2 linked regions of the Coturnix japonica genome follow. The protein of the gene in region 1 purifies or fractionates together with the protein of each later gene. This does not show direct contact. Links are inferred from orthologs where the notes say so. Each region holds a gene or a part of one and is shown in the gene's direction. Other genes may lie near its edges.

The links.
Region 2: the proteins of MAP3K2 (region 1) and TRAF7 purify together in Homo sapiens (affinity purification with mass spectrometry; 3 studies listed by BioGRID and IntAct, with this or other methods). This does not show direct contact. The link is inferred for Coturnix japonica from reciprocal best matches to the Homo sapiens genes MAP3K2 and TRAF7.

What each region holds. Positions count from the first base shown.
Region 1 is NC_029522.1:23,204,122-23,219,628, reverse strand, and holds the start of MAP3K2 (mitogen-activated protein kinase kinase kinase 2), read left to right. Parts: upstream 1-6,162; 5' UTR 6,163-6,731; exon of another isoform or gene 6,732-6,809; 5' UTR 6,810-6,969; intron 6,970-8,849; exon of another isoform or gene 8,850-9,201; intron 9,202-15,507. Other genes in the region: PECR (peroxisomal trans-2-enoyl-CoA reductase), read left to right, coding at 347-428, 1,899-1,995, 3,982-4,092, 4,558-4,669, 4,786-4,874. UniProt on the Homo sapiens protein: Component of a protein kinase signal transduction cascade. Regulates the JNK and ERK5 pathways by phosphorylating and activating MAP2K5 and MAP2K7. Plays a role in caveolae kiss-and-run dynamics.
Region 2 is NC_029529.1:6,356,741-6,372,418, forward strand, and holds the start of TRAF7 (E3 ubiquitin-protein ligase TRAF7), read left to right. Parts: upstream 1-8,556; 5' UTR 8,557-8,683; intron 8,684-10,592; exon of another isoform or gene 10,593-10,720; intron 10,721-15,678. Other genes in the region: RAB26 (ras-related protein Rab-26), read left to right, coding at 2,580-2,621, 3,206-3,272, 3,354-3,406, 4,135-4,200, 4,610-4,666, 4,882-4,958, 5,078-5,180. UniProt on the Homo sapiens protein: E3 ubiquitin and SUMO-protein ligase that plays a role in different biological processes such as innate immunity, inflammation or apoptosis. Potentiates MAP3K3-mediated activation of JUN/AP1 and DDIT3 transcriptional regulators.

The sequences.
Region 1 (15,507 bases):
TATTTTCTGAGTAAAACAGAAGTCTTTGCTCTCATCATGAATATGAAGTGTGTGATTCTCAGAGACTATTAGGAAAGTGGAAATGTGAGTAATTTGCATGGAAGGTACAAGGTCTTGATTTCCACAAGAAGCGTTCTTGGCAAACACCGAGCCTTATCTAGACTGTACCTGCTATCTGACTGATCCGGTGATGAGGCTGTGGTACAAAGAGCAGATTGTGTATCTAAATGTGCACAGGAAGTCTGTAGCGTAATTATAGTTGGACTCCAGATTTAGTGTCCAGTTAGCAGGTTTGTTTGTGTGCACTTCTTCAGGTATTTATAGGTTATCTTCCTCCTTCACACAGTGTACAATGCCTGGATGCAGGAACATGGAGGAGCCATTGTCAACATTACTGCTGCCGTGAGAAATGGGTTTCCTGGAATGTCGTAATATACATATAATTTTTTTTACATTTTCCTGTATTTTCCCCATAGAACTATTCATTACTCCTAAATACTGTGATTAGGAGAGGTGTATAATGTGCAGCAGCTGAGTAATAGAAATACAGTAGTTAATGTCAAGAAAGCAATACTTGTCTGAATGAGTGGGAGTCATTATTAATTCAATGGAGCCTGCAAGAGTGAAGGATATCTCTGATCCTTTCTGCTACTTTGTAAGAAACTGAAGCAGAACTTGTTAGCAAAGCTTTCATTGGGAACAAGGTGCTAGTGGAACTGGTTGCCTTGACATGGAACCTTTACTTGTTTTGATGGCTTTGCAAGAGCTTGGCATCTGGTGGTTTTTTACTTCTGCTGTCAGTGCATAGATCTTGATGACATAATTACAGTAAATGGGTGCGGGATAGGTGTTGTAGTAGGAACATACATAGCATTTTACTATGTTTGCATGGAAAGGTCTCCAATGCAGGAAATTGTTTTTTTTTCCTCTGCTATAATAATAATAATATAAAAATAATATATATAATAATATATATAATAATAATAATATAACAATAATAATGATTGAGTGGAGGAATGGTACAGAAAATGTCATGTTTGTAGTTCATCTATACTGACAAAAAATGATCACAGCTGTCTGCATGAAAATAGAGGGTCTTCATAGGCAGATGTTGATTGTATTTGTTCACGTTGTTTTTTACCTTCAAAATGGATGTAAGCCTTCTGGTTGAAGCTTTTCCAACAAGAGCTTTAACTTGTGTGAGAGAAATATTCTTCAGAAAACACTGGTTTAAATGAAAATTTGATGTAGTGAGAATGCTATGCATTGGCATTTTCCAGAGGGGAAGAATTCTGAGGTTTGAGTTTCTTATTTGAAACTACTTTTTCTAATTTGACTCTGTGTGTATTCACTTGTATTTTCTTGAATAGAATTTGAACAAGTGTTATATTAACTTCCCTATGCCTCATTCAGGATTAAATCTTTCCAAATCTCAGTTTCTTACTGGCTTATTCTTAGCAGTACAAAATGTGAAGATCCACATGGTGGTGCTGAAGCTACAGTCATTTGAGTTTCTTTGCTCTGGATATATCTGTTTGAATTGTCACTATGAATAGAATATGGGAGAGTTGAACAAAGAATATAAGAGTAAAAAATTAATTCTAAATAACTTGGAGAAAAGTTCACCAGGTAACTTGTATATAGGTATGGATGGATAGGTAAGACTACTTTCAAACTAAATTCTTACATAATTGACACTCGTTTAAGGAAATTGTAGCATAGGTCTGTTAAATTTGACCCCAACTTCACTGTTTAAGAACTAGAAAATTGCTGTGCCTCTTGAGTGGTTGGTCCAGCCATGGAACACTACTCTGACTTCCTAGTAAGGCTGCAGGGATATTAATACTGAGCATTTAGCTGAGGGAAAAGGTGCTTCTTTTGCTTTCTTTTCTTAATAGGCACTCAGGAGCTGCAAGAGCAGCAGTGGATAACCTGACCAAGACTTTAGCTTTAGAATGGGCCCACAGCGGGGTGCGAATCAACAGCGTTGCTCCTGTAAGTAGCGGCAAGTGATGTGATTCAACTTGCTATCATATGTGTTTATGGTTGATGCTCCATAACTGAAAGGGATTTCAAAACGTAGAGCTTCCAACTGTTTATGGATTTTTATTTATGAATTTTTAGTTTCCTCATACATTTCACCCACACACTTTCCTTTCCATACATGCCCTTTTTTCCAAGGGGCTTTGTGTGTTTTGTGTTGTTTAGATAATGAGATAAACGTGGGGAAAATGGTTTACAAATTTTTTTTGTATATGGTTCATCTGTGCTTGTGGCTTCTGCCTGCATTCGCAGTTATGTTGAGAATCTCTGAATGTGTTCTTTCATGTTTCTATCTTCTCCTTGTCAAGTTAGGTTAGTTTTAGTTGTGAAAAGACAGTGTTGGAGATGTATCTTCACTTAAAGAAATTAGAAAACACATTTTTACATCTGGAATTCATTTTTTTTTTCTTATGAAGTATGCACAGATAGGATGCCACTACATGGGTCAGCAAAATACGCCTGCCATGTTTTTGAGGAAGTAGTTGAGATGTTGCAGTTATAAGTAACTTTGTGAAAACACCAGTTGTATTTTTGTTGCATGTGATGCAGCAGTTACAGGGCTATAAACAGGCCCTAGCTTTGAAGTCTGAGATGATGTCTAATGTGATTAAAGTTATCTTCACTCCTAATGACTGTTTCTTTTTCACATTTGCTGTCTTGAAAACTAAAGGGAAAACATTTAACTAGCTACTGCCACATTTGGAATTTCTCATCTTGCAGTTTAGTAAATCTCAGATTTATTAGTATCTTTTAAGGAAGATCCCTTTCCTGTCAGTGTAGGAGGTGAAGCAGGGTATACAGATGTCCTGCACTAAAATACCTCATTAGCTTTCTCCTGGCATAACACAAAATGCTTGATGGGAGACCCAGGAAGTGGCTCTTTTTAATAGCCTCTGTGAGGCTACTCTGGTGACTTCTTAAATATTAAGGTCTACTATCTTGTTTTTCCTGTTTGCTTTCTGATTTATCAAGACTTAGGGAAATAAGTAATGAGGACAGCATTAGTATGTGTGCATATTTTTAATGCATGCTAATTATCTAATGATTCATACTCATTATACTTTATAGCATCTGTCAGATGAGATTTTTGGCAGGCAGACACTTAAGTGGTTTGGCTTTTTTGCTATTTTAATTATGCAAGTGACAAAAATCTATTTTCTAGTTAGGGTGATACTTGACACCTTTGTGAACATACTTTGTATTAACCATGCAGAACTTGCTGTCTCACATGGGCATAGTAACATGCAGGGCAAGTGTGCGTAGAGAAGGAAATAAAATAGTTTTACAAGCGAGCTTCTTCCTTAGCTCCCGAAACACAGTTGTTCACATCTTAGAGAAATACTGAAAGGTTCTTAATGAACAAATTCAAATGCTTTTGTCTTATTGAAACTTGAGTCCGAAATTTTGTATCAGAATTCATCTGTAGAACCCTTTTTCTCTTACTATTGCATTCATCCTCTCTATGGAGTTTAAGCTGGATTTTAAAATCATCAGAACAAGGATTTCTATAACAGCTCAGTAGGAAGAGTTTGAAATCTGATTGCAAAACGCCTGTGTAATTCACAATGAAGTCAATCTAGTATTATTGCAGACTATATACAAAAACAATAAGAACTTGTTCTTGGGGTTCCTGTAGCTTTCTGTTGCAATTTAATTTGAAATGTTGGTTATTTCAAAGCAGTTGTTGAGTTTCTTAAGAGTTGTTGGTGTGGCGGTGAAGGATTAGAACAATGTGAATTAGTGTGTTTGAACAGGGATGTAACTATCTGTTCAGTTGCCTTCTTTTGTAAATTATACTATTTCATCCAAGTTAAATACTTGCATTCAAGTCGTGTTGGGATTGTTAGTGCCATAGAAAATCCCAGTAAGCTTAAAATTTAATCACAACTTAACATATGAAAGCGAACTTTTTTTGTTGTTGTTGTTGTTTTAATGTAGGGAATAGTATTTTCAGAAACTGCTGTTGCCAACTATGGAGAACAGGGTGTAATTATGTGGTTGAAGAGCATACCGAAGGTTCCTGCTAAGAGATCAGCAGTTCCTGAGGAGGTAACGTATTTCTGAACATTTGTGATGTTCCTACTTCTGTGTCTCTGTTTTAAAACCGCTTCATTATTTGGAGACTATTAAGGACCTGATTTTCAACTGGTGTAGTATAAAGAAAAGAAAAAGCTTGTAGAAATGTGCAGTAGTGTCAACTGGGGGACTTTTATTTAGCTGTTGTAGCTAAAATGTCTCGTGGTTGGCCTGTGTTTCTGGGAAAGTTGACTTGGTTTTTTTAATCGGGGAGGATTAATGTGAAAAGGTGTATCTTAAAAGTACTTGAAAGCTCACCGTTGCTCAGCTTTTACCTTGTTGGTGTTGGTAGCTGGAAGTGTGGTTTTAAGATTGTTGGGACTTTGATAGTTGAGTAAAAATCAGAGCTGTGCCTTGCCTGTGTCCATTTTTAGGAACATCTTGGACATAACTGATGGCCAGAGGTTTAAGAAGGACTGAAATTGTCATTTTTGTTAGATTTCTCCTGCAGTGTGTTTCCTGCTATCTCCAGCTGCTTCTTACATAACTGGGATAACCATGGTTATAGATGGTGGCCAAAGTTTATATGGCAGTAGCTTAGAAATACCAGGTAAGAAATGGGCTAAAAATAATGCCCCTACCGTGATTGAAGTTGGGCAATGGGAGCATGCAAAACCAAAACGCCCACTTTCTTTATCAGCTAAACCCACTGTTTTGTTTCCTCAGATCACAACAGATGGCCCTCACCACCAGAAGGAAGAAATTCTGAAATGCTTAAAAAGCTTATTTCTGGTGAATTCAAGCCAAAGCTGTAGTAGAACGAAATGTCATTTTATTCCTGGTTTCACAGTTGCTGATAATCTCACTTTGTAACTTGGTATTACAATTACCAGTAACATGATTTCTTTTTCCCCCTCACATAACTACATAGGTTTTCATTGTCTCACATTCTCCTGTTTAAAACTTGAGTAGGTCCATAGAACATCTTCACTAACAAACACTTGCTGGCCCTTGGAAGGTGTAAAATCGATTCTTCATTGACACTACTAAGTAAGGAAGGATCTCAGTCAGGAATGGTTAAAAGACACCTACTTTGAACTGAAGGGACAGGAAGAGAATTTTATAGAATCATTTTACACAGAGTGATTTGGGGGAGGAAGTTTAAGTCTTTGTTATTGGTACCTGCATCAGTAACCCTTGCAGTGGCTGTTAGAAGTATATAGTTTCAGTTCAGCCACAATCTGAATGCTCACAATGATTTTAAGGATTGATTAAAGTGCTTATCTGAGATGGGAGGAAATAAAATAAAGCAGAGGCCGGTTAAATAGCGGAATACTGTTTTTACAGCTTCAAACTAATGAAGCGTATCAGATGTTTCCAGTTGTTTGCCGATAAAATGACTTCAGGAGATGAGCAGCTGCCACTTAAATTCGTTGATAGAATAATCAAATAATAAGCTGTACAATACACTCTTGGAAAACTGTATGGATTTGATCATCTCACAGCAAAACCTGGAAGCATAGGTGCAGTGTATATTGCAGTGCTTTGTGCAATTTGCTATACTGGTGAAAGGAAAAACTTATGAATCTTACGTTTATCAGTGTAAATGCTTTCTATCCACACTGTCTTCTCTACTGATGTGCTGTTGAGATACCAGCTTTTTTCATCAGCATTCCTGAAACAGGGGTGATGCTTGTTCTCAATGGAGAGTTTCCATTAAAAAAAAAAGCCAACAAATCACAAGCAAATAAGTCTTAGAATATATTACTTGAAGAGGCTGGTTGTTGTAATTACTTTAAGACAAATGTTCTCATGTCTGATAACTTTGATCAAAGTATTAAAATAAATGACTGTTGTAACAACTGAAATTTGTGGAATCGAGTTGCTGCTACAGAAGTTACCTCGTCAGTACTGAATTTTGGATTGAATATGGGAGTGTCCACCAGCTGTGTGATCCCTCCAAAGGTGCTCGACTTTCTGCCTTTAATTAAAGTGCTGGAAAATACATGAAAAAAACAGGTTTGTTTATGAAGACTTCAGGACTGATTTTGGGGGAGGAGGGGGAAGGGAAAGTTGAGATGGGGAAGAGGGGGTTGTTGAGATGGGGCTGGAGCTCAAAACCAGAATGAAATAATGAAATAAGCTTTTTTCAAACCTTGTGAGTGATTTATTTTTTATTCTGGTGATTGTAAATGTTAATTCAGGGCGCACAGAATTTCTGGAAGAAATGTACCTTTGGATAGCAACCATGGTAGCCCTTTGAATTTAAGTCAAATGAGTTTGTTGAGATGTTTTTCTGTGTTCTTAAGTCTTAACCCTGTTTAACCACATTTAAGATATTAGAGAAGCTGAATTTCACATTTGACTATGAGTTTCTATGACACATGAAATGTAGGTGTAACATGAAATGGAAGTGATTTGATAAAACAATTACTTCTATTACATCTAATAAATGTTCTCTACAGGATTTGAGTATAAAGGTAGAAATCAAGTATTTTTAGCTTGCAAATCTCTTCTTTAACTTTGGAACGTGAATATTCACGAAGAGGGGAAGCTTATAAATATTGATGATGAAATGCATCATTTTCATCTGTGAAATGGAACCTTAGGAAGGGCAGCATTCTCTGGTGTGGGAGACATGTTCAGCTTGCTGGGAGTGAACTCCTTCACAGGTAAGAACTGTAACAAACATTTTGGGCCATGCTGAGTAAAACGAGCTTTTATTTGACCTCATCTTCTTTAACCTTCAGGCAAAGCAATAGATGTCTTCAGATCTAAGCCAGTTCTTTAGAAGACGCTTATTCCTGCGTGTGCTTTTCTTTCCTGACAAGAAGCTGAAACAGCCGGTGTGTGTGGAGCCATAATGCACTGCAGCTGGCTGCAATAGGAGACGTACTCAGAACACTCGGGGTGAGTACAGCATATGAATACAGAACATACACCCTTGAAAGGTGAAGGGAAAACATCAGAGTGCTCGAGTGCTTTCTGCAATACGTTTTACTATTTTTTAAAGCTCTCTATGTGTTGAGGTTCGCTGTGAACAATATCAAAACATTCCATTATATTAGATATTACAGAAGTGGCTGCCTTGCTGTAATGGTTTTGCAGTGCTCACCCCCAGCTCACCACTTCTTGCATCAGTAAGAAGATGAAATAATTAGTTCTCCGAATGGAGAATTGTATTGGTCCTTGGCTCTTTGGTGACTTTGTATGCAGATTAAAACTATTTTCAAATTATTTTTTTAAGTTTCGCAGCACTTTGTAGAAACCTGCTGTTTTTTCAGCTGGCAGCACAAATGTTTCAGATTTCTGCATAGTGCAGATAATATCAGCTGAAGCAGAGCTCTTCCTATGCTTCTGTGACAACAGCTCTTGATCAAAGGGCATACAGAGTTGTGTGGCTTTTTCTTTTTACTTTGTTTTCTTTAGAGGAAAAAAAGGTGTGATAACAAAAACATTGCTGACCTGGACAAGATTTGGGTGTCTCAGACAGAAGTTCAGAGATTGTTCTGTTTTTATTCATTTCACAACGGAGGGGAATGTGGGAAAATGGCTGAGGAACCTCAGGAGGAATCGAGGAGACTGATGGATCAAACACTTAAATCTGAACATTTACTGCCCAGTGCAGATGAGCAGAGAGTAGAATGTTACAGCCCAGTAACAATCTCCTAAGTTGCTTTAACATTTACCTCTGGCTAAACCTTCTCCTACTCTGCCTACCCGCTATCATATAATCATTTGACTGATAAATGGATGCTTATCAACTGCTACCTTGCTGCATGGGCTGGTGTTTTATCTGAATATGCATCGTAGATCTTGACACTTATGAAAACAGCTCCTCAAAGGGGAATTTTCATAAGCCTTATGTCTATGCATGTTCCTTTGCCAGTTCTTACACCTTCTGATTAAATAAGCGATTTCATAGGTCTGTAACTGTATTATTTTCTGGTTGTAGTACAAAAGATGGTATCAACGTGGTAATGTAGTGCCAGCTATAGGAAGGAATGGCAGGGAGACTGACCTGGAAGGAGGGGGAGTGAAGGACGACAGTGCAGCCACTAGAAGGAGCTGGTTTATGCCTATTTAAAGTGTTTGAAAGCGATGGCTTTAGCGTTAACTAATACAGGCACTTGTCTGAAGCAGCATGTCTAGAAGGTGAGAACCTCTTAGTGCAATGAGGTATTGATCCTGGAATCAAGATAGAGCCGTGCTGCCAGATTGCAGTCAATCACTTGAGCGGGCTATCCTGAGATGTGCTTACCCTGTCACTCTTCGAAAGGGCTGACAATAGCAGGACACGGGGAAATGGTTTTAAGTTAAAAGAGGGAAGATTTAGGTTGGATGTTAGGGGGAAGTTCTTCACTAGGAGAGTGGTGAGGCCCTGGAACAGGCTGCCCAGGGAGGTTGTGGATGCCCCGTCCTTGGAGGTGTTCAAGACCAGGTTGGACGGGGCCCTGGGCAACCTGATCTAGTAAAGGCGTATGTTTGGTGGCCCTGCCAGGCAGGGGGTTGGAACTACATGATCCTTGAGGTCCCTTCCGACCCGGGTCATTCTGTGATTCTGTCATTTCCTCCTCCCAACATCCATTGCTTGCGTAGTGCTTGCACTGCATGCATCAATAACTAATATGCTTTATTGCAACTTCTGCCATTTATTTTTATCCTCCGGTGAGGGCAGACCCTTCCGCCTTTGCCCCTCCGCCCCATACGCAAGCGCAGAATGATGCGGCCGCCCTCGTGCCGTGACGCGGTGCCGCCTCACGTTGGTCCCGTCCTCCTCCTCCTCCTCCCGGCGGCGACGTCACGAGTTTCGGCGGAACGTGAGGCGGAGCTCTCGCTTGGCAGCGGCTGCGGTCGGCGGCGCCTCACGTTTGACGGGACCCCCGGACTCAGCCCGACCGCGGCCCCGTCGGCGCCCTCGGGCCCCGTTCCCCCTCGCTGTCCCGCCGCTCCGCTCCTTGCTTCCCCTTCCCCACCGTGCGGGCCCGGGGCCCCTTCCCCCCCGCCTCCCGGGGGGGGGTGGGCTCCTCTCCGGAAACCTGGCCGCTCCCTCCGCTCCGCCTGCTCGGCCGGGCCTGCGCCCGCCGCCGTGGGGCAGCGCGGGGGGATCCTCGCTGCTTCCCGGCCATCGCCGTCACACAGGTCGGACCCGCGGGCGGGGGGCTGCGGGGAGGCGGGAGGGGGCGGTGGGGAACGGCGGGGTCCTGGGGGGGTCTGAGGTGCGGGGCTGCCGTAGCAGAGCTGGAGATGTGGGTCAGAATCCGCACGGTATTAACGTCGAGTACGGTGGAAAAAAAAAAGTGAATGCACGGTAATTATTTTTTTCCCCCATCTTGCCTTTGCGGTGTACTGTGGCACCCACGAGGGTTTTTTCTCTCTGGTTTCCTCGGTTCGTAAATACGGTTTTAGTTCACGGTTGTGGAATTATTGAAGATGGAAGCGTTAAACAAGCAGGGTGCTGCTGAGCTGCATTGTGTCCTCTCTGTGAGGATGGTGGAAGGCGACAGAGGCTGCCCTGAGAGAAGCGGCCTTCGGACCATTCGGGAAGCGCTTCTCAGTTCTCAGATATTTTTCTCCCTTGAACAATGCAGCACGTTGCGGGGTGCAGGAGGCCTTGAGAAACGTGTTGTGTGCCTACGGCACAGCCTGCGTGTGCAGAATGAACGTCTGCACGCCGAGCTCACACAATGTCTCTGCCTCCTCCATTGCGTGGTGCTTATTAGCAGAAAACCAGAGCAAGTGTTCTGTCCTATGGAATTCCTCCAGGGATCGTTTGATGGGGATGGGCGCTGATGAGTTGGGGTTTATGTGACACTGCAACACCTCGGAGCGATTTTCTTGTGTTTTTAGTCCTTACATTTTATTGTCATTTGGAAATAACAGAAATACTATATGAAAGATTTTTGCATGCTTACGGTGTTTATTTGATGCCCACTATCCTCCCATTCTATTCAAAGATGAGAGCTTAACTATATTTCTGTTTTTTCTGTGCACATTTTGTTCTGTCACGATTGCCACCAAAACGTATTGAATGTGGTTATCGATTCAGATAATGAGGCCGTTTGTCATTGATTTGGGTTTGGGTTTTCTTCAGGGTTTCATTGCATTTTGATAAAGGAGAATAGCAAAGTAATATCGGTCAAATTGACTCATTTCTGGAGAGGAATGCGTGCAAAATCTGTCTTGTTGAGCAGCCGGTCCATGAGCCGTCCGTCTCCATGAGCTGTCAGTGGTTTACCTGCTGCTAATGGAAGACTATGGGGAAGAAAACAGATGTTCCCAAATTGCTTGCCTTGGCACGCTGAGGCTTGTAAACTGTCAGAGGAAACTTTCTCTAAGAGAGCTGTGGTATTCGGGAACCACGGGAGCTCTCCTACACGTGTAAATAGGCAGGTGCCTGGGATGAGTGGAGTTTCATTTAACACAACGTAAAGGTTAAAAGTTATGGTGCTTATTTACGTTAGTTACCTTCATTACCAAACGTTACATTTGCTGTCCCCAGTGTTTAGGAATTCAGTTTAAGCTTTGGGAATTCAGCCATATAGCTGACATAATATCACATCTAAATATCTCAGTGACGTTTTATTAACCACGCCAGTTTCTCTGTAGGAGTGAAGGTAATTTTATTTTTCAAAGCCATAAATCCTGCTTTGCTGTTGTAGCATTCTAATATTTGGTAGTGTTAAGAAATAGGTCACACGCACTCATTGCACTTACGTTCCCAGTGCTATTTTACAAGATACAGCTGAGAGCAGCAGTCTGAATACAGTGTGCAGGTTGTGCTTCTCACCAATGCATGTCAGCGTGAGATCTTGATTTTTGTACTGTATTAATGCAGACACAAGCAGCTTGTGGGTGCTCGTAAGCCTTAGAACACTTTTGCATTGGTTTTTTTCCTGAGTTGTTTTAAATGCATTCACTTTAACTGTATTTTCTGAGGAGCTGCTGAAGTTTTGGTACCAATGAATGGAGGATCCTGTTGGGATGTTGCACTTCTCTCTGCTCTGGAGGCACTTTCCCCACAGATGCACATACAGCCCAGCTTGGAGCCCAGCTTTGTGAGGTTGCTTGAAGTTGGCCTTGCTTAAGCCAGGCTGAAGCAGTGGTGCCTGCAGCATGCTTTAAAACAGCGCTGGTAGATGTCACCTTGTTTTTCATACATGAGCAAAACCATTTTCTTCAGACTGATGTTTTTCCTTTGCTGTTGCTTTGTTTTCAGCCTCTGTTTCCTCATTTTCCTCACTTCCTGGTCTTTCCTCACTCGCTTTTTGCCCATTCAGTCACGTATGTGTCCGCTTCGGTGCATTATTTGCAGTAGTAAAATAGGCTGCTTACATGTTCCTGAAGTATTTTCTGCTAAGTACAGTAACAGTTTGACAGCAGTGGTGCTTTCAGTAATAGAATTCAAATGTTTCAGCAGTTGAAGTTACAAAGGCTGTAATTCTGAAGCTCAGGAATGATAACAGACATAAACAGATTTCATTGTGATAAAAGAAGGAATGGCAGATGTGTAAGAACGGATTTGGTGAGGTCACTCCCTGCTCTGAAGCAGAAATAAATATACTGAAATTATACCTAACAAACATTAGTCTGATCTGGTCTCAAAAACCTCCAAAGAGGGGAATACCACACCTCTTTACTGCTCTAGTTATAGGTGCTACGTAGCTGCTGGTACAGTTAGGAGGCTTTTCTTAATATTTAACTTTTGCCTTGGTTCTAGTTAAGCCAGTTAGTTCCAGTCCTCCCTCAATTACTCACACAGGATAATGATTTCTATACTCTTTGTGCCATTTGTTGATATGAGGACTGTTCCTCTGTCTCTTATTTCAGACTTCCCTAAACTCCACCAATAGGCCTTTTCTTCACAGACCCTATTTGCTCACATTGTCGGCAGCTCCCATTGGACTCTGATTTGTCTGCATCTTTCTGCAGAGTTCCCCAGTCCAAGACTTACTGCAGCAGAATAAATAACTTACTCTAAAAGTTACATCAGAAGTAACGTGGCAGCCCCAATTAAAATGTCATTTCAGGGTGTGCACACATTTTGGTTTTGTTGCTCTAATTTGGGTTTTATGTGGTTTTTGATGGGTTTTTTGATTTAGTTTTTTGCTGGTTTGGTTTTCAATAATGTCAGGATGTTGGCTCCTCCATTTGTTACAGTGGGAGCTTGTATTAGTGTCTGTAAAATTAGGTCTCTCTTCCTTCATAAATGGGTATTTGAGTTACCTTCCGGAAGGGTAACACTTTATACTGCTGTGAATTTCATCTTCAGGTTAGTTTTCTTATACAAAGCATTTCTAGGTTGTACAGCACCAGGGCTCTCTGTGTTATTAAGGAGAATGGGCCTTTCCTGTTCTTCCACATCTACTTCCCAGCACTTACAGTCTCTTGTTTGGAGTGCAGGTCTGCTGTGTGATGGGGAACCTGACTGAAAACAAGTTCTGGGGTTCCATGTGGCTTCTGTTGGCAAAAATATATCATAGCATATAACAATTTGATACATCGTACTTCTTACAAGTAAGTTGTGGTGGTAAGGTAGTTTATGTCAGTGTTACCGTACCTGAACTGGCCTTCTGCCTCTTTGTCATGCACTATCACAGCCCAATGATAAAACATTCTCTTTAGAGAATATTTGTTAAGTCTCAGTGCCTGTGGGATTAGCACCATCATGAATACCAAGTGAGACTTTCAAAGGAGAATTTACACATTACTGGTGCTTTGACTGACAGCTTTTAGGGAAAGCCTTAATCCATAATGAAGTCAGAAAAAACACTCCAGCATTCTTCCTCCAATAAGGAGCATGAGCGGATGCTTAGCGAAGGGTAAGAACAAGGAAAGCTTATGTATAAGAGATAACTTGAGTATTCCTTCATCTCTAGCTGTTTTCATTGAAGAGCTGTCCTAGATTTGGGTAGTTCGTTGTTGGTTTCATGCAACCAACCCCTTTTTTGTATGCAGGCAACCAGCTGTTCTTTGTAAGAAGTTCTATGGGTGCGCTACTACTTATGTTCAAATTTACCTTCTCTTTCTTCAGAATTTGGCTTGTGCTGTTTTCCTTTGCTACCACATTCGTTGTGGAGGGGAGTGAGCAATCCATCTCTAGTATGACAATCCATCTCTAATATGACAATCCATCTCTAATATGACGATCCATCTCTGGTCCTGCCATGATTTTGTAGACCTCAATAATTTCTTCCTTCTCCTGGAAATCGAAGAGTCTTAACTTACCTATTTGTACCCTACTGAAGAACCCATTCTTATGTCTTTGATCATACTTTCTAATCTTATCTGAAGCTGCTCTATTTCAATACATCCTTTTCTGGAGCTGAGGTCCCCAGAGCTGATAGTTGTAGTCAAGATAGGCAGTGTTCTGTTTTGTACTTATTTCATTCATAGTAATTCCTAATATTAAATTTTCTTTCTGAGTTCAGGTAGACTTTAGTCTACCCTACTAAAATTATACATATGTCTATTTGTTTTAGTCCATTTGGTACAGGTCAGACTAAAGTATTCATAACAGCCCAGGATCTCTGTATCACACGTGCCGTCTTTCAAAAGATCTTTTAAAACCCAGGGCTGCTCGTTGGGCAGCTTCAGCGGGAGTCCCTGCTCCTGCCTTTGTGTTGGTGATACAGTGGTGGCTATGTGAGGTTTGGCAATTACGGCATGTTAATGAAATCACCTGGATCACTTCTTTGCCCTGGATCTGCTGCTTGGAACCGGGGCTCGGCTGGAAAGCAGCAGTTACAGAGGGCAGCAGGCTGCTCCTTTGCAACTTAACTGCAAACTTAGTGGAACTGTAGCCATAAATAGTGATATGTGCTTTTGCACAGTGAACCCTGATATCATCTCCTGACTTTAGAGTCTGTAAGTTACCCCACTGACTGTCCTTATGAGGATTTTTTCATTTTCTCTGTCGTGGAAAGGATATAAACACGTAGGATCTGAGATGTTACTTTAAAGGTCGGGTTTCTATTGCTGAGCTGTGTGCTGTGGAAGAAATAGGCAGGAAATGTCATGTAGCTGCATCGTCTTCATGTCTTTGCTTTGGATTCTTGGATGTGCAAAGCAAGGTTTTTTTGTTTGTTTCATTTGGCTTCAAATGTTGTGAAAAACTGCAATGAATTAAGTTCTTTTCTGGTTCATGGGAAGTGCTGTTACCAAGGCACTAAGTGAGGAAAGACTTCTGCACTCGATAGCTCAGTAGTATTTTAACGTATTGGCTCATGTGGGGCATCCAGGTTACAAACAGTGCAACAGGTGAACACAGACAGTAAGCAGACTTACACAGTGCATGGCATCACTGTGAACTTTGGCTTAACCAGTGACCTTGAGTGCTGTCATAAGGAAGTGAGAAGCACCGTGTTCTTTTAAGGTGTGTGCTGTGAATTCTCTGTGATAGTAGGAGGAGAAAAAGTAAGGTTTTGCCTGCTGTCCAATCTTGGATACAGTTTGGATACAGTTTAGATACAGTTACAATTGTGGCTGGTAATGTTTTTAGTTGTAACATCTTTAGCCCCTGTTTGTAAATATTTTGACTTTGCAGTTACAAATGGAGCTGAAAGTAACCTTGGTGCCTCTCCTTAGAAGCAGCAGGTGGCTCCCAATGGGAGCAGCAGCTGTCCGGAACGCCCTGAGACTTTTCAAGACGAAACAGAAGTGTTTAAATCCAGCTGTAAAAGTCGTTAGGATGCCAGCATTCTACCTGGCCTGGTGGGATTGTAAGGGTTAAAATTTCACCTGTTTTCTTTGGGAAGTCTCTTGTGGGGGTGTCCAGTTCATTTCACGTAGTAGACCATGAGAACATCACCAACATCCCAGAAGTAGTTTAGTTAGTGTAGGTGCAGTCATTACAGTGTTATCTTGCTCTACTCAGTATCAACATAAACTTTTGTGTGATGTTAGCAGCCTTAATCCATTTGGGTAATGCACGTCTTTGTTACTGGTGAGGAATTACTCTCTGTAACACTGTGATGCTGTGAGACCTTCCATCCCTGCGGTGATAACAGATATCAGAGACACTGGAGTGAATTGGTGGCAGTGATGCAGATCTCTAGGGCTACAAAAAACCATGTCTAACTGCCTTTTTATCATGTTCTATGAGCAAATGTGCTCTCAGATAGAAGTAGAACCAGGCAATGAATAGGAGCAGGAGCAGTCAGTTCTAGCTAGTATGTCCTGGTGCAAAATTAGAAACACTAAAATGTTTTGCAGGGAGTCACTGTGGCATCTGTCCAGGAGTTTCATCTGTTGTGGCCTTTCTTTAAATTAAAATGTATGTATTTCATTTCTTTAAATTTCATTTGGTTTTGTTTGGTTTGTTTTTTTTTTTGAACTGTGAACAGCTCTTAGGAAAGCATTGTGACTATCCAGGAAGACTTGCTTGAAGTGAAAGCAAAGTCCTTGCTCAGCTGGGTTGAGAAATTAGTTGTTGAGGAGGGTACTTTG
Region 2 (15,678 bases), on another chromosome or scaffold:
GTGAGCAATGCACGTGGCTCCCAGTGGGACATCCCTCAGTGAGCAGTGCCCCAGCAGCACAGTGTCGTGCGGGGAGCAGTGGGGTGTGGGGAGCAGCCTGTGGGTCTTCTTTTCCTCTGCTTCCCAATGGCAGTGCTATGTGGGGCCATGCTGTGGCTACAGCGCTGTGTGGGTGATGCTGCCTATCACTGAGATCTGTCTGCTCAGTAATTGCATTGCCCCTCCATCAGCAAGGTTCCAGATTTATTTATCTGATGTTCTGAGGACAATTTAACTTAAAGACACCTTGTTCCTGCAGCAGCGACTATCTGAGTGTTCCACACTATAAGCTCTGCTAGAAAATGCTTTGACAGCATTGTCAAAGCCTGTATGAAAAGCTGCATAAGAACTGCTTTCCTGAACATGCAGAAAGCAACAGCAGAGATCAGTTGCACAGACAGCTTTGCTGGAAGCATTACTTCTCTTACAGTGTGCTGTGTGAGCCTGTGCTCGAGTGCAGTTCTCCCTCACTTGTCCTGAGTTCGTCCTGCAGTGGATGAGCAAAAGTATCAGCTTCATGCTGCAGCCTTGCAGACTCATGCATTTTCCCCAGCCTGCCCCAGCAGCACCTCAATGCTCAGCTCCCTGCTGCTCTTCCAGATGGTAATTAAGCTGAAGAATCCTCCCTTAACCCAAAATGTAGGGCAGTAGTAATTAGTGTGAATCCTGCTGCTGCTCGCTTGCCTTTAATTAAGCTCCTCCAGAGGACAGGTACTAAACGAGGTGTCAGCACTCACCGGGTGGTTTGTGGAGTGAGGTTTGTGGGGTGAGGTTTGCAGCACAGCCACTGCCTGTTGTGCTCCAAACACACAGTTGTGCTCTAGGCATCGCTCTTGGAGCAGAGGATCGAAGAGGTGCCACATGCACCTTGGGCTGCTGCCCCCCACTGCTTGGTGCCAGGGCACTGCTATTATCTGCAGCCTGGCTGGGATATGGGTATCAGCCTGAGCTGTGCTGCAGGGCAGGGAGGGCACCACAGGTCCCCAAGCAGTCCTGCTGTAGGCAGCTACAAGCTGTCGCCTGCAGGAAATCACCTGTGGCTGCTGGCAAATGTTTTCCTTTCGTCGAGCAATGAGGTTTGTGCTATGAAATATTTAGTGAGAGCTGGCTGGTTACAACAAAGAAACGAACAGACATCCTGGAAAAATAACGTGTAATTATTGCAAAGTATTTTACAACCTACCAAGGCAAACTGCAAATGTGCTGTTGCTTTGTTAGGAAGGCAGCGGCTCCAGGCTGGGCTGGGTGTTCTCAGCAGTGCTGCTTGAAGCTGTGATGCAGCAGACCAGACCCATCAGCAGCTCCAGTTGTGCACCTGCACCTTTCCCTTTCCCCTGTGTGGCTGCAGCCAAGCTGCCCACTCCTTCCCCTCCTAGGCTGTGAGTCACTCCTCTCCCTCGTCTCCATCACTGCCTTTGAAGGTATTTATAAACCATGTTCATCTCCCTGCACCCGCTTCAGCAGACAGTGTAAATTTAGCATGCTTTTTCGCTCCACACCATCCTCCTCATCCTTGTGGCCATGCTCTAATGGAAAGCAATGGGATTGGCATCACAGCAGGTGCCACTACCCCATCCCACCTGGCCCCTTCATGCACCATTTCTTGGGTGTTTTTTTTTTAAGCATACCCCAGTGATCACTGTGCTGATTTCTGTGGATCTCTGCTCTTTGCTCTGAGACTTCTTTATGTTTAGGATTGGGTTTGGTTAACGCACTGGGGATGCTGAGTGCCTCACTGTGCCCATCCTACAGCTCTGCTGGCTTCAGTGGGGCTCTGAAAATCAGCTGGCAGTGCTCTGCTGCTGCAGAACTGGAGCTGTCTGGAAGTGCATTGGCATCAAATAGGAAAACTGTGGTTGGTGATGCCAGGGATATCTGTGTGCCCTGTGCCTGCCTGGTCAGGCGCTGCTGCTGCAACACATCACATGATGACAACTCATGGCTCACCTTGGAGTCGGTCCACAACGCAATTGCTGTGAGGGCCAATTAATTTGCTGAGCATTGTGGTGGTGTTGTGGGAGCTGCTGGATCGTTATTTGCAGTTGTTTATGCAGGAAGAGGGCACCCAGCAACACTGCCTGGCTCTGGCTGTGGCACAGTGGGCATCACCTCAACACAGACAGATGTGGGGACCCAGCCCAGTGCTTGCTGGGAGAGCAACAAATAAAAACAGCAGGAAAAGGAGATCTGTCTAAGTTGCTAACTGAATATGGAGTTGTTAGCTGTGCCTTTTGGAGGCTGCTAAGATGGGATGCTGACACTTATTAATTTATTGCCAGAGGTGGTCCAACCCGAGCTGCACACCATATTAAATCAGCATTGTAGACACAAAGATTTAAGTATCCAAATAGATGTAACTTGTAGCAGACACAGGAAATGATCTTCTTGCTGTGCAAATTGCAAATTGCTCCAACAGGCACCGTGGCTGCTTTGTGCAAGTTTAAAAGATGGGGAGAGAAAATCAGCAACACATTGACAGAGTTGGTATAAGGCAACAGCTCCCAGCCTCAGCACTGCTTCTTTTTGCTCTTGTCTTGCAGAACAAGGTGCTGACGGTGGATGGAGTGAAGGTGAAGCTGCAGGTGAGTCCCTGGAGCTGTGCTTACAGTGTTCAGGGTGTTGTATAACCCCTTGGAGCCACAGGGCTGGGCACAGCCCCAAGAGTCCAATCTCCTCTCATGTTTGGAAGCTGCCATTGTGCGTGTCCCCACTTTTCCAGCTGTGTTGGCATGCAGATGTGCACATGTACACATGTGCAGCCCAGCTGTGCCAGTAGTGCCCATCTTGCCCTGATAGCAGCTCAGTGCTCTGGAAACACTACTTACTGTGCTAAAACTGGATCAATTCAATACGTGGTCCTTGCGCATCCTTCCACTGGTAGATTTTCAATGGAGCTCTTTGTCACACATCACATCCTTGCAGCCAGATGTGCTGATGAACAGGGAGGTGCTGATTGCATATTTATTGCACTTATCACCTCTTACCATCCTCAGAAAGCTCCTCTGCAGCTGCAAACTGCTCGTGTGCAAACAGATCAGCCCCTGGGTTGTTGTTAGAAGCAAAATGCTGAAAAAACTTTGTGGGGTTGCAGGGTGCGATGGTCGTGTGCTGTTTCCATCCTGTGAGTGGTAGCGTGATGCTCTCACCCCTCTCCTCTGCCTTGTAGATCTGGGACACAGCCGGCCAGGAGCGCTTCCGCAGTGTCACACACGCATATTATCGTGATGCCCACGGTGAGCACAACCCCAGCAGGGCTGGGGGGCTCGGGGAGCACAATGTGGTGCCAGCACTAACACCCACCACTCTCTCCACAGCCCTGCTCCTGCTGTATGATGTCACCAACAAGGCATCCTTTGACAACATCCAGGTATGTGCGGCACCTCCCGGACTGCTCCTGATGGCTTCAGGCAGCTCTGTGGGTTTCTGGGTTGCTGTTGTTGCTCCCTAAGCCCTGAACCCACAGCTGGTGCTCAGAGCAAACCCATGGGTCACTGAATGCAGGTAGCATGGAGATTTGGCAGCCTTCATGATGCTCTGTGCTAGAGATGAATGGGGAGCCTGGGGAAAAAGAAAGCTGAAAGGAGCTGTGGCTGGTGCTGCCCTGGAGCAGAGGTGGCACTGTGGGTGGTGTGTGCCAGCAGTGCAAGCTATGGTCATTCCCAAAAGGCTGCAGTTGGTGCCACGTGCCCGGCTGGCAGCTGCTGAGAGGCTGCTGATGTGGAGGACACACAGAGAACATTTTCCCTTTCCTGGCAACAAGAAGGGCCAATGGATTCAGTTCAGTGGCAGATTTATGCCATATGTAATTATAGCACCAGCTGGAGAGCTTGCTCCTGGTGAACAGGGGCAGCCGGATGCCAGCAGTGAGGTGCTCCCTTGTCCCCACTCTGCTGCAATATATCCCCATGTTGCCCCATTGCCTTGGCAGCAAACCTGGGCAGAGGAGAGGACCACATCCCACTGTCCTTCATTCCCTGCAGCCCCACAGGTTCCCCACACATGGCACCCAATGCCCAGGGCTGGGCAGCCCCAGCTGACTCCTCCTATTCCTGGAGCCCACCTCACTGCAGCCCATCTGTGGTTGTCTCCCTCCAGGCATGGCTGACAGAGATTCATGAATACGCACAGCAGGACGTGGTCCTTATGTTACTGGGAAACAAGGTGAGTTGGTCCCACAGAGCTGGTCCTGTCAGGATGCTATGGATGTGGGCAGGGGTGGGTGCAGTGCAGCCATGTAGCTGCAGGTTTTGGGCCAGCAGAGGCACAGAAAGTGGCCACCTGTCCCAGGGAGGGATGCTCTCATCACCAAAGCTGTGCTCCTGCCCATCTCCCTCCTGGTGCACAGGATCTGGCTCCTGCTCTGTGTGCTGCTGGGCTGCAGAGTCTCCCAGGAATGCTTCATTGAATTGAGGTGCTGGAGATGGAAGCAGTGTCCTGTGCTCACCCCGCGGATCTGAGCCCCAGATCCCCTTTACTGCCTATGTTGATGGGATGGGACAGAATGAGACCTTTCCTGGGGCATGGAGCTTATCTAATGCTGATCCTCCCTTTGTTCTTTTGCTATTGGCAGGTGGATTCAGCCCAGGACAGAGTGGTGAAAAGGGAAGATGGAGAAAAATTGGCTAAGGTATGGGAGGTTCTTTTTGCTACGTGGGGGTATTTCTTATGCTTAGACTGGACAGACAGCACAGCAGCCACAGGGACAACTGCAGAGCGGGATTTATCCTTTATACCACTCTCTTCTCCACCATCTGCTCATCCTTTAACCCTCCGCTGCCCTCCTTGGTTCTATGCCTTCACATTTCTTCTGAAGCTCTGTACAAATGCTGTCTTGTCCTGCAGGAGTACGGGGTGCCCTTCATGGAGACCAGCGCCAAAAGCGGCCTCAATGTGGAGTTAGCATTCACAGCTATTGCAAAGTAAGGGGGATAAGGGGGTCCCGGCTGTGGGGAGGGTGGTCACTGTGAAGGGGCTGATGTCACTCAGCTGGTAGCAGGCTGCGTTGGCAGAGAAGTAATGTGCTTTCCCCTTCCTGCAGAGAACTGAAACACAGGTCCATGAAGCTGCCCAACGAACCCAAATTCAAGCTCCATGATTATGTGAAGAAGGAAGTGAGAGGCTCGGGCTGCTGCAGGTTCTGATGTGCTCGGTGCATTTGTACAGAGACTCATGCCACGTGTTTGTGCGCCACGCTCTCTCCTCTTGGACAGTGTGTGCATGTCTGTCTTGTGTCTGTATCTGCGTAAAAGGTGAGCTGAGATGTGGGGGGTGAAAGCAGCAGAAGCTCCTCAGGCTGGCAGACAGGCTGGCCGTGCTGCACCACAGCTGCTCCCCGAGCCCTGCAGCACCCACAGCCCCACAGTGCCCCATTCCCCACAGAGAAGCAGCACCTCTCCCAGCTGCTCCACTCCTGCCTTGCTCACAGCCACTTCCCGGTGCAGCTGCGGCTCCTTCCGGAGCGATGGGTTCCTGCACTGGTTCAGCAGTGACAGTGCTTAGCCCAGAGCATCTTTGGGTGTGTTAGTGTTAAGAGTGATGATGTGGGGGAGTGCCTGCTCCCCACCAAACATCTGGGCAGGAGAAAGCCTGAGTTCCCTTCTCCCACACCCTTGGAATTCAGCTGTTCAGATCCTGGGGCACGCAGGAAGGCTTTGTTTTCAAGGCAACCGTTTTTGTAGCTGCTTACTTCTGTCTGTCAGTCCTCCCCGTGTTGTAATATACCTCCTCGATGAAGACTTCTCCTCCCTGCAGAAGACAAGAGCTTAGATGTCTGTTTGTTTGAGTGAGCTCCTGCAAACACATCTGTTGTACAGAGATCTCCCGACTGTTTATCTATTTGGTAAAGGCTTTGGTTCTCTTACTACAGCCACTTCTAGTACTTTAATGGGAAGAAAGCTAATGTTCTGCAGCTTATTCTAAATACCTTTATGTAAGTGTGATAACATTTCTAGACCACAGCAATGCTTTGCTATCTCTGAAGTTCTCTTGGGACAGCTCTTTCTTCTAACAGAAGAAAGACGAGGAGAGCGCTGTAGGCATTGATTGTACAGGTCTAAGACTCTCCTGCCAGCTCTCTTCAATGGACTCCTCGCCCCTTTTGTCTGGTGCCAAGCATTTGGCTTATGCTTTTTTTTCCAAGTTGCACTTCAAAGTACAAATCTGGATGCTGTGTTTGGCCTTTGGCAGTTTTCTTATTCAGCAATTCCACACGCACTGACACCAGGTGCCCACTGCATTCAACATCCCTGCACTGCTCTAAATGGACCACTGAAGTTCACTCCCCAAACACCAGCTTTCTCAGCAGTGAGTTGGGGTGCAGCTGCCCCTCGTTGTTCCAGCTTGAGCTGCAGCAGCATTCCCAAAGGGCACAAAGACCCTCAGCACAGGAGCCAGGCAGGCAGTGACAGAGGAGACCCCTCGGAGCTGCAGTAAAATAAGCAACGTGCAGAACAACTGCTGAAAAAACGGGTCCAGCACAGTAATAACACAGAGCCTAAAATAAACCTTTTCATAAATAGCTTTTTAGGGAGAAATGTCTTTAAGTTGTCTTATTTTTGTTTAAAAAACCCATTCCTGGGGGATGTTTGCAGCACTCAGCCTGCTGCCATTGCGCATCCCTGGGCAGCTCCTGCTCCCTGCTGGCAGCCAGTAGGCAGGACCTGTTTCTCATCAGCCCTGCCACTCACTCCTTAACAATCACCCTCTCCAGCCTCCAAGCGTCACTGTAGCTGCCCTGCACGATGATCAGGCACTACAAAGTCAGTGGAAACCTACTGAACTGTTTTGTGCTGCTCTGGTGTGCTCCTATGCTGCTTCCCAATCAGTACCTTTCACATGATGCTGCTTAACAGCTACCTCCGTTCTCACTCCGGGCTGTAGCACATGCTTGCTAGCTAAGGTTAAAGAGTGGGACTAATTACAGCCCCCAGCCTTGCCATGGAGGCACAGGAGACAGGCAGCTCCCACACCCAGCTCTGTTCCCAAGCCTGCCTTTGGTATTGGATTGTCTCACAATAACCATAGTGTAACAGCACCCCCTGTCCCCATGCTGCTAATCCCCTGCAGACACTCCCCTCTTTGGGCAGGAATGCCTTGTATCTTGATGAAAAAGCTGCCAGTTACTGGCTCTGGTTCTTTAGTGGGTGACCAAAAGCAAACTAAGTAATATAAATAGAGAAGATGCAAATGCTACTCTCTGAATATACCTATGGGGAACCTAAGCAATGCAGCACAAGCATCACAACTGCATTTGTGGCCTCTCCTAACACACCCACACTGCACTGAGGCCCAGCTCTATCCCATCACACACAATCTATGTTCTGCTTGTCCCCATTGCCTGCACACAACGTTGCTGAAGCCTTCCCTCAGCTCCAGCCATTGCTCACATGGGTCTCGACTGCCACCCAGCGATGGAGCAGCGCTCAGTGCTCACACAGGCCAGAGAACACAGCATTATTTGCACTTCTCATTTGTGCTGCTTCGTTTACAGCTTTAATTTAATAAATTTTTGTACTAATCTCTGGCTATGTTGGCTATTGTCGATCATAACCCAGAGCCGAAGGTCCAAACCTGTCTGTGGTTTCTCATGTGACGCATAGAATGCACAAAAACAGAAGTTTAAGTCTTATAAAAGCTTTATTCGATCTATAAGCAATACAGTCAGCCCGGTACAGGGCTCCCACTGCTCCTTATGGGGCTCCCATTGATCCCTATGGGGCTCCCATTGATCCCTATGGGGTCCCATTGTTCCCTATGGGGTCCCGTTGTTCCCTATGGGGTCCCGTTGTTCCCTATGGGGCTCCCATTGCTCCTTATGGGGCTCCCACTGCTCCTTACGGGGCTCCCACTGCTCCTTACGGGGCTCCCACTGCTCCTTACGGGGCTCCCACTGCTCCTTATGGGGCTCCCGTTGCTCCTCACGCCGCTGCGATCCGGCTCCCGTCGGGCCCTAAGGAAACAAGGCCTCACAGTGAGATCAGGCCGCACCGCCCGGCCCAGCAGCACCGCGGGGCCTCGAGCCTCAGCCGTAGTGTGTCAGCAATGGCCGCGGCCACTCAGACGAGGTGTCAGAAAAGTAAAGCTAAAATCATCCCCGGCTCGTCCCACCTCACAGCGCCCACCCCCAGCGAAGAACCAACACCACTCACCTCCCGCCTGGAAAGGGCGAAACGTGCGCTCGCTGTGGAATTTATACACACCCCACCGCCGCTATTGGTCAGGCTGCCCGTGGATCCAGCCAATCCCAAGCAGCTGAGGTGATCACCGTCCCGCCTCTCCCCTCGCTTATTGGTCGACGCTTTTCCTCCCTCCAATGGCGCGGCGCGGCGCAGCGTGGCCCGAGGCGTGGTGTGCTGTCTCCCGATTGGTGACGAGAGAAGCCAGTAGGAAGAGTGATTATAGCGCAGAGCGACTGCAGGAGAGCCAATCAGCGCTCTGCCCAAAGGCCTGCTGGGAATTGTAGTCCTAGCGTAGCAGCATCGCGGTGAGGAGCGGACTGGTAGGACTACAAATCCCAAGGAGCGCAGCGCGCCGCTCTTCTGGCCCGGGCGGCAGCTGAGACGAGCTAGAGGGAGGGAGTGAGGGAGGCCTGGGGCCGCGATGTGCCGGGATCGGGAACCGGCGCTTCGGCCGCCGCCGCTGCCAGGTACCGGCTGGGGGAGCACGGGGCGGAGCTGAGGGAGCGATGGGAAGAGCCGGGCCGGGTAATGCGGGCTGCTCAGTGTGGGATATATATGGGGTGGGCTTCTGTCAGGGCTCCCGAGTGGTTCCTTACACTGTACGTGGCCGTGCTGTATTGTTGTATATGTAACAACTCAGGCTGTGCTGGGCCCGAGGGACGCGAGGAGAACCGTGTTATGAGCGGGGTGTGGGGGCAGCAGGGCCGGGCTGGGCGCTGTGCTCACAGCTCTGGGCCCTCACAGCTGCCAATGGGGGCCATACTTCGCTCCTACCACAAGGTTTGGTCTATTAGTTTCCCCCCGGTTTGTTTCCCCCCTGGTTTGTTTCCCCCTGGTGAGGTATCGCAGCCTGCACTAACAGCCAGCTCTTGTGGAGCAGCTGGTGCTTGTTGGTTGTGAGTGTTTCTCCCGCTGGTCCCCACTGACAGCCGCAGTGATTCGGTTGGTCCCGGTGTATGAGGGATGGCTGTGAGAGCCCTGAGAGAGGGAGGGAGGCAATGGCAGGGAGGCAATGGCAGGGTTGGCTGCTTATATGGTGGCTGCAGGAGCTGTGTGAGAAGAGAAGAGAAGAGAAGAGAGGAGAAGAGAAGAGAGGAACGGAGAGGAGAAGAGGAGAGGAGAAGAGAAGAGATCAGGGGATCTGCACTGTATGGGGTTTACAGCCAGAGAGGTGTCAGCTCTAACCCAGGCCTAAACACTACAGTGCTCTGGCTGCGTAACCTCCCAGCTCATTCTCTCCTGCAGGCTGTTCTGTGTGCATCCTGCTACTGTAAATTGCTGCTTTATGCTCTTGCAAGCACTGGTGCTTGAGTCACCCCCGAAAGCTGCTGTGCTGTGCTGATGTGGACTGACCACGAATTCAAAGAGAAAAGTACCGTCCTCATCTTTGTTGCATGTCTGGTGAGAGGAAATCAAAGAGTTCGGGGGTTTCCCAAGGGTCAGGCAGGAAGCTGTAGGATCTGGGTGCTGCTTAGTGCCCTGCAGGCTCCCTGAGTCCTGGGGTGCCTATAAGTGCTTTTGTCCCAGATGGAGCTGTGAAAACACAGGGTAAATCTGGCCATGGCAGCACAGAGAGCTGTGGGTGGGCTGGTTCTCGGTTCCATACGTTTAGCAGTTGCGGCTGAAGTTGGGTGGTGTTCAGCAGTGACCTCTTGGGCTGAGCATCACCTGATCCTGAAGCATGTTGTAGCCCCGAATGGCACTTCCAAGTCCAGCTGTGGTAGGAGGAAGGCGCTTGAGAGCAAGTCCTGGTTTCACTAACCCAATACTTGAGTCATATGGACACGCTCAGGCTGTCAGACCTCTTCCTTCCCCCATTTTATGCCTAGTGTCATCCCTCCTGTTCACTCTTTCACCATGGGCAGTGAAATCCATGCTGGCTATGTCCCCCTGCCCTGGGACTGACTGGGGACATAACAGCTGCCTGGAGGAGGCTGTTGTACAGTGGACCCCCATCCTCAGGGCTATGTGCTGCTCCTCACTGAAGGCCCCACTGGGCAACAAGAGAATGCTCTTCCTTTCTGTGCTAACGAGTTAACTTAGTTAACTGGTTTTCCCTGGAGCATCTCTGCAATCACAGCCTGTGTCACTCTTTGTTCAGCTGCTCAATATTCAGTTTTATGAACAGTTTGGGAACTACCTAAAGAGGGTGAGGCGCTCAAACTCCCTTCAGTGTGAATGGTGGATGATACTGTTTCTGCGGTTGGATTTCTCAGCTTGGAGGCATAAAGCAGTGCTTGCTCAGGTTGTTTTCTCTTAACCTCCCTGGTCTGTGAGCAGCTCAGGGCAGCACGAGGATTGGCTGAGCTGTGGGATTTTCCAGCCAAATTTACATGTCGCCCACTGCTCTGCATGCCTTTCTGTTTACATCACTAGGGAGCAATACACACATACACCACGCAGATAGCGGAAGAGGCATTCTGACCGAGGGAAGCCTGCCTGCAGCTCAGGAACTGGATCATGGTGGTGTGTCGCTGGGCCCCGCTGTGCTGGGGCTGCCAGGGGTGAGTCCTGCGGGGTGGTGTGGGCACAGCACAGTTGTGGGAGCAGCAGGGCAGCACAGTTGGTTGGATCCCACAGCTCAGGCATGGTGCTTGCTGCCAGCAACGTGGAGGAACTGTGTGGGTTCAGAAGCAGGTGCCTGTTGCCTGCAGTGAGTTGGAGCAGTGTTGAGCTAGATTTGTGATCCTCCTTTGCAAGGACACATAATATATGTGCAGCAACGCAGTGAGTGATTTCCGAGGTTGTTCCCGGTGGTTTCAGAAGTACAAAAGCCCTCTGTGTCATTTAAAGAAGTGGTGCTGGTGAGGTGAGGCAGCATCTCACTGCCTTTCCCTTGTGTCCCAGAGCATTGTGACTTTGGATCTTTAAAGTGCTCTGATTGCACCCAGAAGCCAAACAGGAGCATGTCGTGGAGTTTTAAAGCTTTGGAAGATGTTTGGGGAGAGCAGGGGAAGGAAGTGTGATACTTGGTGCACTTTGAGTAATGATGACAGGCTCGGGTTTCTTGTGACTTTAACCTGGCCAGGTTACTTTCTGGTTTTCTCCATTGCAGCCTTTCCCAAGTACAAACAGATTAACCTGGCCTCAGCCACCTGCACGGTGCTGGCAGAGCTGAGAGGTGAGCGAGGCAGTCAGGAGCTGCTGGAGCAGGTTTTCTGTTCAACCTTGTGCTGCTCCCGTGTTGCTCACTGAAGCTTTCCATGCATAGGCTTTCCTTTCTCATGTGCTGTGCTGCCAGGACAGGGCGTTTACAGAAGTGCTCCATGGCCTTTGCTGCTTACCTGGTATGCCATAGAGTTCCTCGTATGTAAATAGTGTGTGTTGGGGCAATTCCTTATTCCCTTTGCTGGGCTGTGCTGGGTTTGTAGAGAGCTCTGAGCCTGACCAGTGCTATTTACAAGTTTTATTGTGCATTTCTTGTGGGAGCCCTTTGCCATTTCTAATGGCTCCCAGAATTGTGAAGGAAATGGAGCTCTTCTGTCTATTGGATTCTTGTTCTTTAAGTGAGAGTGAGGCAAAGGTCAGAAGTGTGCAGCACTGTGCTGTATAATGGCCAGGTGTGAGAGCTCTGCTTGTGCCCATTCCAGCCAAGCCAGCAGCGATGTGCAGCCACTCAACCAGCACCAACCAGGGCCTGGCACTATCAAACTTCATCTTCAGCCTCATGTGCAAGGAAAATGGTATGGAAGGTGGATGCTTCCTAAAATGGAAGTAAAGCCTCAAGTATAGCTTTTGTGATGCAGAAAGTGCATTGAACATTGGCCTCTGCTCTGACTCAGTTTTAGTGTTTTGGGGAAAATGAGATGCGTTGTTCCACCAGAGCAGTCGCTTTTGATCCTGTTATAGCCACATTTGAAAGTTATTGCTTTAGGTTTTAGCGTCAGGTATCACAAATAGCCAGTCTGCCCCAAGGGTTCATTAACCTTATGGAAGACAAGGACATTTCCTACAGAAGCATTTCCTTTTCTGAGCTGTATTTGCAGAAAGGAATGGCAGCATTCAAACAGCTGCGCTTCTGTCACGCTGCTGGATGTGCCCTCTCAGCTCTGCTCTAAAATGAAGCACCGGTAAAAGCAGCAGCAATTAAAAACATCACATTTATTTTTCTTGATGACAGCGCTGTACAGCTCTGGTCTCACTTCAGCTCAGAAAACTTTGTATGGCTTTTAAAAGCAGAGGAAAAAAAAACTTGTGCATGATGAAAAGCCTTTCTGTTCTGCAGAAGCAAGGAACCACCAGCTGGAAGTGCCGTGCTCTGTTGGTAGGACTGAGCTTCATTTCACGTTTGATCTTCTGGCACTGACGCACATCTCAGCACACATGGCTGGCTGTGTCCAGGTCACCCCAGAGGTGCAGGAGGTGCCCACAGCTCCGTGCTCAGCTACAGCTCTGTGCAGCTGCTCTGCAAATGAAGGCTGTCAGCAGGGAGCACGTGAGACTGACCCCTTTCCACCATCCATTTGCCTCACGATTTCTGAGCATTCAGAGTAGATGGATTAGGAATGTGAGGAGGCATGTCCTCGATGGATCCTTCCATATCCATTTATAGACCTGTTGCACATTACTGAGTCCAGTCCTTTCTGAACCTGTCATGACTGCATTTCTCTACAGTGTGCAGCAGCAGCAAGCGCTGGTGTTCCCTGTGAGCAGGGTGAAGGAATGCTTCCTATTGCCTGTGTTCCATCAGCCTCCTGCTAGGTTCACTGGGCACACTGTGACAGAAGGTTGGGGGAACAACAGGCCCAAATTTGCTTTATTCATAGGCTTCCTGACTTTGTAAATCGTAATCAGCACAGGAGGGTTTGTATAATTTGCGCACTTGGAGATTTCACTACTTATTCCATAGATGACCATGTTGAGTGAAGTTTACTTAGCAGTGCTTCTTGGGGATCCTGTATCTGAAAGTTATTGCTTTAGGTTTTGGCATGAAGTATTGCAAACAGCCTATTTATCCCAAAGAATCATTAATCTTACAGAACAGAAGAACATTTAATACAAAATGATTTTCTTTCCTGAGCCAAGGGATCACCTGAGGAGCACCCGAGGAGCTGCACCCTCTCCTTCCCATGCTGTGACTGCCCTTTGAGATGTGTCTGAGTGATGTGTAGCTCACCTGTGTTCTCCAGGCTCGTGTCCTACAGGTCAGACTAGATAATCGTTGTCATCATCACAGTGTTCTTTAAATGCTGTTGCTGAATTTCAGAAGCACTTATGAAGGAATGCTATTTCCTCTAGAGACACTGAGCAAGAAGGCTGTGGGATGCAGAAAAGCTGGATTGTGAGCTCATGAGCCATGCCTTGTGCGTGCTTTGTGCACAGCCCTCCCCTTTCAGTCTACAGTGGACCACTGAGAATCAGTTCACAGCTGGAAAACAACGAGAACACCTTGTTAATGCAGAACAAGGTGAACAGAGCCTGCCCAAATTGGACCCGCAAGGAGAGATCTGAGTCCCTTGTTCTCTGTGGGGTGGTGCTCCATGTCCTGCTGAGCAGGGCTCCTGGAGCAGCTTAGCGTGCTTCAACTTTTGTAATAGTATTTCCCCAGTGATGCACCAATCCTCCGAAGGATGTGTAACCCTTCCTGTTCTGGCTGTGGCGTGGTAGAGGAACAGAAACTTGTCTTTTGCCACGAGTACATGGGCTGTGAAATAAGGAACTTCTCACTGGCACATCCCATTCCCAGTTTGTGGGGTAGCCCCACGCCTGCCTTCAGCAGCACACCATGGCCCCCCTACCAGTGAGCACCCCTGTGGGTGGTTTTGCCAGCCCTGCTGTGGGTGAATAGCTTCAGAGACAGTGTTAGTGAATGGAGGGAGGAAGAAGGAGGAGCAAAGTAGACACAGGGCACATGGCTGAGCTTTGTGGGCACAAAGTCCAGATTGCCCACAGTGCCCTGCCCACACCAGGAGCTGGCTGCAGGGCCAGGGCTGGGCAGATTACGTGGTATTTGTGGAGGATGTGCCCTCTGCCATCCTTCCTTGTGCCGTGTGTCCTCTCAGAGCCTTGGCTTTGTTCTTAAGGATGGCTGTAAGGATCTTCTGCTGAGCACTGGGAACAACTGGGTGAGCCCTGTGCGATGCCCTGCAACAGGAGGTGCCAGCCTCCTCCTATGGGCAGCAGCCGCTCAGCAGGGCCCTCGCTCATTCAGGTGCAGTGCTGGGGCAGCAGCAAGAAACAACTGGCAGAGAACTGCTGCTGCCTTTCTGGGCTCTATAATGGGGAGGAGGGCTGCTTTTCCCAGCTGTCTGCAGCTACTGTTGGTTGGGTTTTTCCTTGCCTGGGTTACAAAACCAGGAACTTTAGGGCTTTTCTTCTCCTTGTGTCTCCAATGCCTGCGTTGATCCCCATGTTGTGCAAATGCTGAAAGCTGGCCCTTCCCCTACTTTGCATCTGGTTGCTATCAGCCCTGTGATTCAGTGAATAATGGGTTCCCACAGTGTCCTTTTTCCAAGGGAGATTTCCCCCCCCTTCTTTTTACTGTCAAAAAATAAACAGTGCTCCATGCACAGAGAGCCTGGGTTACAGGCTGGGTCCTTGCAGGGCTGTGCTGGCTGGACACACAAGGGCTTGCAGCAGTTCTTCATGCACAGGAGGGAATGGAGCTTGCCCTCTTGCTGTAGCTTCTGTTTTGTTGTCAGCCACGAGTGGGACCCTACATAGTCCTGGGATGGAACATCAGGATGCTGTGTCCCGTGTGAGCACTGCCAACCTGCTGCTCTGTGATGCTGCTGGAGATGCTCTGGATGTGGTTCTGCTCAGATCTGACAGTTCCAGGTGCTAAGCCGAGGTTTGGAAATCTGGAGGGGAAGCTGGTATTAACATCAAGAACACCATCTCTTCTCCACTTCCTTTTAAGTTCTTTGATATCAACTGGCAAAGGCCTTTTTCACTGCCTTGTGACAGAGTTCATCGGCAGGCTGCTCTGCAGACATCTGCTCTGTTGTAATCGCTCCTGTATTTGATGGTTGCAGGGATTTGGGCTGAGATTGGCTGTTTTTGTGGCAGTTGGTGTTATGAACGTTGGCACATATTCCACTTGATGTTTTTTCCATTGCTTGCATTCTCCTGGTTTCTATTCAGACGAGATGCAGGGCAGGTTACCTCCTGCTGCTCACAGGTAGTTTGCTCAGCCATGCTGCAGGGTTTGGGGTGTGAACAAGGAGTGGAAAATCCCTGTGTTCCAACCCGTGCTTCCTTCCTTGCTTTGGATTTATCCACCATCTATTGGATCTTGCATTCCTCTGAGTGGGCTTTGGAGCAGGGGAATGTGCATTTTACTGGAGAGGTGCCTCAGGTTGTCCCTGTTGCAGGCAGTTTAGAACTGTTGGAGCCGCACTGCAGCTGGGAGGCAGCTCCTCAATCTGCACGATGCAGCAGCACGGTCCTGCTTCGTTCCTGCTGTTCTTGGACATCAGCAACTCTGCTTAGCATTTCCTAAGGGATCTGGCATTTACAGGCA